Linked DNA regions of Oryctolagus cuniculus. The protein of the gene in region 1 interacts with the protein of each later gene in a biochemical or structural test. Links are inferred from orthologs where the notes say so. Each region holds a gene or a part of one and is shown on either strand. Other genes may lie near its edges.

Evidence for each region.
Region 2: the proteins of SPTBN2 (region 1) and ACTR1A form a complex in vitro, tested with the Homo sapiens proteins (2 studies listed by BioGRID). The link is inferred for Oryctolagus cuniculus from reciprocal best matches to the Homo sapiens genes SPTBN2 and ACTR1A.

Annotation. Positions count from the first base shown.
Region 1 is NC_091432.1:5,206,940-5,210,752, forward strand, and holds part of SPTBN2 (spectrin beta chain, non-erythrocytic 2), read left to right. Parts: intron 1-49; coding exon 50-143; intron 144-200; coding exon of another isoform or gene 201-246; coding exon 247-378; intron 379-2,104; exon of another isoform or gene 2,105-2,715; coding exon of another isoform or gene 2,716-2,893; intron 2,894-3,813. UniProt on the Homo sapiens protein: Probably plays an important role in neuronal membrane skeleton.
Region 2 is NC_091446.1:27,489,158-27,491,988, reverse strand, and holds part of ACTR1A (alpha-centractin), read right to left. Parts: coding exon 2,803-2,831; intron 1,780-2,802; coding exon 1,687-1,779; intron 1,093-1,686; coding exon 918-1,092; intron 815-917; coding exon 753-814; intron 180-752; coding exon 139-179; intron 1-138. UniProt on the Homo sapiens protein: Part of the ACTR1A/ACTB filament around which the dynactin complex is built. The dynactin multiprotein complex activates the molecular motor dynein for ultra-processive transport along microtubules.

The DNA.
Region 1 (3,813 bases):
TGTTCACCGCGGTTGCCCTCATGCATGTCTGTTGTATCCCTGTCCCCAGGCTTTCCCACTGGGGGCTGATCTCAACGGCCAAACAAGCAGGACGTCTGGCCTCGAGGCGAGCGGGGCAGACCCAGGCAGGAGGGTAGGACACGGTGAGCGGAAGGCTCGGTGGCTCCGAGGTGCCCCTCACCAGCCACGTCCTCTTGCAGGATCAGGAAGCCGTCCCCACCATGAGCAGCACTCTGTCGCCCACAGACTTCGACAGCTTGGAGATCCAGGGCCAGTACAGTGACATCAACAACCGCTGGGACCTGCCCGACACCGACTGGGACAATGACAGCAGCTCCGCCCGCCTCTTTGAGAGGTCTCGGATTAAGGCGCTGGCAGGTGAGGTCATGAGAGGGTCGGTGAGGAGGTGAGGACCCAGGAGAGCCAGAGCACCCCACCAAGGCCCTGGTCCCCCCAAATCCAGGCTCATGAGTGCACTGGATGTCCTCCAGCTTCCTGGAGAAGCCAGCCCTGCTGGCCCACAGCGTCCCCTGCCTGTCCCAGGCCCCTGGGTCATTTCCCTCCATCCCTATGCACTTTTACTCTTGCTGTCACTTCTGTCCCCACCCTCCCCTCCCAGTTGTGTCTTCCTTCATCCCCACACCTGTCCTCCCGCCCAGCCTCCCCAACCTGTTCCTTCCACCTGCCGCCTGTTACTCCCATTATTTCACAGACCTATTCCCTGAAGCAGGTTCTCTCTGCCCGCCACCGCCGCTTTCCACAGCCAACCAGGCTCGCTCTGGGCTGGCCTGCCTCGGCCCCTACCCTGCCTTGCCCTGCCCCGCCCTCCCCTCGGGCCAGGGCTCTCCCCTTCTGGCTGCTCTGGGCACAAACAAACCCGTCCAGCGGGCTTCCTTTCGATGGGGGGGGGGGTTGTCTTGGCAACAAGAGTGTGGCTGCCACCTGACACCACCGGCTGTCGTGGGGCTGAGTCACCCACACACCCGAAGGCCACCCACCCTGTCTGGCTTCTCTTCTCCATCCCTTCCTCATCCTCCTCACTGCCACTGACCCTCCTGCCGCCCAGCCACTCCCACCTGCGAGGTGGTGCTGCGGACTGGGGGGGAGGAAGAGGAGCGGCTCCCGGGGGAGGTTGCTGACGCCACATGTTTTATAGGATCAGCCAGGGATGATTTTTACACACGCAGCTTCCCAACGCCCTGGGCATGGCACATTAGGATCTTTGGACACATGGTCCAGATTTCAGGACTTTTAAAACCTCCCCAGGGCTAGCGTGAGGCCCCTTTGCGGTGGCCATCGCTTCTGGAGGTCCTTGTCATTTTCTCCTGCATCTCTGCGTGGCTGGGTCTTTGGGTGGGCTGGTGAAACCCTCATGTTGCTGCTCTAGTAGATCAGAGAAGACAGAAGGTGTCGGGGTACGGAGACCGTCACCTCGTAGGGGAAGTGGTACCCTGACTTTGGATTTATGTAGCACAGCAGTCGTCATGTCATCATGCAACACGTACCACACAGCACCATCACTATGTGCACATGACATGTGCCACCAGGGCTGTCACTAGGTGTGTACACAGGACACGTGTCACCCAGGGCTGTCACCTACCATGTACACATATGTCACCCAGGACTGCACTCTATCTGTATACATGTGCCACCCAGAACTGTCACCACGTCTGTTCACATGGGATACTTGCCACTCAGGGCTGTCACTGTGTCTGCACACAGGATACGTGCCACCCAGGACTACTACCATATCTGTGCACACGTGCCACGTGCAACCTAGAACTGTCACCCTGTACACACAGGACACATGCCACCCGGAACTGTCATTGTTTTCTGTAGGACGTGACACATGCCACCCAGGACTACCACCATGCCTGTGCACACACAAACACACATGTGTGCCATTCTGTGCTGCTGGGTGCTTCTCTCCAGTCCTAACCTGAGCCCCCCTGACAAGGCGTTCCTGGATGGGCTTTGCCCAGCGCTGGACCTCGCACCAGCAGGTGCCAAATAAATGCTGAAAAACTGTAGGGGGGGGGGGGCAAATGTAAGCTGCAAGTGACAAAAGGCTGAAGTCCGCGGAGAGGTGGGAAGGGAAGCCGGCAGGTGCACCGGCAGTGGGGTGCATCGCAGGGAAGGGGCTGGCTCTGGAGGCGGCGATGACACATGCGACCCCTGTGTCTGGATGAGAGACCACAGGCAAACGCCTCTCAAGGCGCCTAGATCTGCCTTTCCCGGTTTTTCTTCCTCCGCTTCCTAAGCTGGGGATCGGAGCCTGTGTCCCGGGGAGGCGCCAGCCCCGCCCCGCCTGCAAACCTTCGGGAAGTGGGAGATGGCTTGGGACCCCTCTCCCAGGTCTTCTGCCCTCTTGGACAGCTCGGGGCCCCAAAGGGCGGGACTCCGGGCGCTGGCGGGTCCTTTCCGCCCGCGCAGGGCCGGGCCCTCGCCCCAGCCAGGCTCCGCCTCCCACCCCTCCCCCGCACCGTCCGACCTGTTTGTCTGGAGCCGCCTCCGTCTCCCCTCGCCGCCGCCAGGTGTGCAGCGCTCACTTGTCCCGGGAGCCCGGACGTCCCGTAACTCTGCCAGCCCGCGCTCCTCGAAACCCCCACCTCCCTGGAGCCCCCGCCCTGCCGTGCGCCTCGGGGAGGGGACGCTGGCCACGGCGCAGGGAGCATGGACTCGGGGCCGCGGGCGCTGTAGCAGACAGCGGGCACCATGAATGGGAACGGGGTGAACAGGGGGCCCGGGCACGGCCTGAACGGGGCCAGCGAGTTTTACTACGACGCCGTGGAAGGGGCCCAGAACCCCGGGGGCCTCCCGCTGTCGCCGGCCGCGTTCATCAACCCGGCTCAGTACGCCAGCGTGCTCGAGGGGCGCTTCAAGCAGCTGCAAGGTGAGCTCCCCGCCGAGGGGAGCCCCCGGGGCGGGCGGGTGGGGCGGCTGTACCGGGGCCCCTCCCCGAAGCCGGAGCGCAGTACCCCGTGCCGGGGTGGGGAGGGGTTGTGACAAGTGCCTCCGGCTTAGCGGGGCTCCGTTTCTAGCAGCCAGGAAATCCCTGGATACAGGCAGAACCGGGAGGTTTCTTCTACGGGAGGGGACCCTGTGCGACTTCCAGGCACCTGGCCAGGTGCATGGAGGGAGCCAGAGGCCCAGGGACCCCAGCCTGCTGTGCAAGGGGAGTGTGTAAGGATCCAGGGATGTTGTGGGGGGGTCTTGTGACATCACACCTGGTCTCTGGTGCTTGGCTTGGTCCATTTTTCTCCCTCCCCCTTTTATCCTACCTATGTACCAAAATGGCCCCACTGGGGTGTGCCTGGTGTCAGGGCAGTGCCTCCCCGGGGCCAGTGATGGTCAAGGATCCAGGACCAGCCTAGCTCAGGCAGACCCTTCAGGCCCAAGAGGGGGCCCGAGGCACCCCTTGGCTCCACAGGTGCTACGAAGCATCCCACACAGTCATTAGGACCCCAGGGTGGAGGTGAGAAAGGCAGGCGCAGACATGGGTGTGTTGCTGGGGTTTATGGGTGAGGTGCACAGGAATGTGAGGTGAAAGGGTGAGTCGTTCCAGTTGCTGAGATGCAAGGCCAAGGAGTCCGCGGGACCAGCCCCTGGGCGGGGTCCTCGCCCTGGGCTCTCTGCAGGGGGCTGGCAGAAAGCCTGGTGACCACCGGAGCCCCTTGCAGTGGCCCGGGCCTCTTCCTTCGCTCTGACATTTCTAAAAAGCACCATTTGTGTTTGTCTGTGCAACCTCACGGCTTCCCCCGCCGGCCAGGAGCTGCCCCCTGGCCCAGGCAGCAGGCCGCTTCCTAACCCTTC
Region 2 (2,831 bases), on another chromosome or scaffold:
AAGCAACAGTGAGATAGAGGGCCAGCCATCCCCCTGGGGCCACAGCAGCTGAGGCTTTTCTTGAAAGGAATGGGATGCTGACGGGTAACCTGCACCTTTGCCTGCTGCATGCCGCTGCTTCCCAAAAGGGCTACTCACCCAATCCATGTGGAGTACAGCCTCTCCTGAGGTGCAGATATCTGCAAAGGTGGGGGAAGAGGTGGATGTGAGTCGTCCACCCTGCCCCCGCTTTCCCTCGGAGGCACACCTCACCACCCAAGGCAGTCCATGCGACAGGCTTCAAGTTCTCTCCTGCTGGACCCCGTGGCCTCTGTGGAGGCAACTGTGGCTGGCCCGACCTTCACCTGGGGAAGCTGGGGCTATGAGGGGGCAGAGACTCCACACAGGAACCACACTCCTTCCTGCAGGGTCCCTTCTGCACCAAGATGCCAGACTGCACCACACGGGAGCCAGAGCGCAGCAGCAATAAAACTGAACCCCTGTCCACTTTACACTGTCCTGAAAAGACTGATGGGGCCCTCAGCGCCAGGCCCCACAACATCTGGGTATTAAAATTACCCTCCTTTTGAGTGAAGAGGTGGACTGTGTAAGCCCTCCTCTGGCCAGCCTAAGCCTGAGGGTCCAGGTGTAGGCTGGGAGCCACCTGCTACTGCCTGTAGAGTGCTGGCTGCCCAACAACTCGGGCAGAACCAGAGGAAGGCCAGAGCACGTGGGGCCCAGGGCTACCCTGCTGGGGCCCACCATGCTCCTACCCTGATCTTCACATCTTTTGGAGCCAGCTTCTTCACCTCACTCAGTAGTCTGTCACCAAAACCTGAATGGGCAGAAAAGTAGAATCTCAAGTCAATTCTTTGGCTTTCTGGGCCCAGCAGGCTCTGGAAGCTTCCAGGGGAAAGGCCCTATGAGCAAAGACCAACCTTTGAACAGGGTGGAGCCCCCCGAGAGGACAATGTTGGAGAACAGCGTGCGCCGCAGGTCCATGTCAGACTTCTGGATGGCAAACACCAGGACCTCGTGGATTCCCTCGCTCTCTTCGCCAATCAAGTCTGGCCTGAACAGCAGCTCAGGGGCCCGGAATCGAGAAGGACCAATCTGCAGGGTGGAGGGCCGGCTTCAAAGGGTGGGGTTGGGGCCAAAGTCCCTTTAGGGGTGGGAATCGAAGCAGCGCCTCTGCCCATCTCTCGGTAACCAGGTGGCTCCGAAGGCCTGCCACATGACACTCCTACACTCACGTTAGGGGCCCAAGGGACAGAGATAAGGCTCTGGGGAACAAAGAGGAGACGTGCCTATGTTTAATTCTAGCTCTGGCACTTTCCAGCTAAGAGATCGTTAACATTACTGTGCGGATTCACTCATTTATTTAATCATGGAAACTTCTTGCAATGGGAGATCCAGGGAGCAGCAGCTCAGCCTGCACTGTGCCCAGGAGTGGTCAGGATGGCACCAGCCATCCACGTACAATCCCAAGACCTAGCGTGATCCTGCTTGAGCCCCCGCCCCCTACATGGGAGGGAGCACAGGCCCTGCCTTCTGCTCTGCAGGAGCAGGGCTGCTCACGTTGCTCATGTGGCTCTAGGCAGAGGGCAAAGGACCGTTGGACTGGACCATAGCCCCTCCAGGCCTGTTGTCTGGGCCCAGAGTTTTTGTGGACCTGAGGGGTTAAAGGGGAGGGGTCCAGCCACCTACCTCAATGGTGCTGCCATCAGGCAGGTAGTACTGAGCCTTCTCTGTCTCCAGTGTCTCATCCTTCTGGGGGTTTATGGACAGGTAGCAAGCCCTCTGCAGAACAAGCATTACCGTCAGCTGGCAGGAACACGTAGCACACACCCACAATCCTGGGGGAGCCACGTGCTGCAGACACCAACCCCTGACAGTGACTGCCCTCAAAGTTGGAAGAGCTGCTACCCAGAAGCAGAAGCAGGGGAGTCTCTGTCAGCCTCCGCGGGATGGCATCTAGGCTACGTGTTTGTACTGCTCCACCTTCCTGGTGGGCAAGCTTGGATGCTTGGTTGTCTATACTGAGGGTCTGAGACCACGCACAATTTTAGCACAGGTCTAGATGACATCTTTCTCCTACCTTTCACACAGTTCTAGGTCCTCCTGACCCAGCGCAGGGGTTTCCCTACAGTGACAGGTGGCATGACAGTTCAATTACTTAAAATGAAGTATGACCTCTTCAAAGATGTAGAAGAACCTATGCAACTTAATTTGGACCTAAAGTAAAAAAACATCATGAGGTGCCAGCGTTGTGGTGTAGTAGGCTAAACCTCCGCCTGCGGTACCCATATGGGTGCTGGTTCATGTCCTGGCTGCTCCTCTTCTGATCCAGCTCTCTGTTACGGCCTGGGAAAGCAGTGGAGGATGGCCCAAGTACTTGGGCCCCTGTGCCCATGTGGGAGACCTAGAAAAAACAGAAGCTCCCGGCTCCCGGCTTTGGATTAGCCAAGCCCAGCTGTTGCAGCCATTTGCAGAGTGAACAGCAGATGGAAGACCACTCTCTCTCTCTCTCTCTCTCTCTCTCTAACTTTGCCTCTCTTCTCTAATGAATACATAAAATCTTGAAAAAGTCATGAGCTCCTCTGTACCCATTATTCAGTTGAGGAAATGGAAGCAGCTCCCGTTCCTTCCACAAGATGGCAGTGCTTCTGGAAGCTGACTCCATCAGCAAGAGTGGGCTGGGATCACACAGTGGCCGGGAGGCCTGGCTGGGTGGGACCTGAACAATCCCCGTGGCCAGGAATCGCTCTTCAGTGCAGGTCACCATTCCCCATCCCATCCCTAGGCCCATGGGGCAGCACTCACTTCTTTGATGGCCTTTACGATCTCAAACT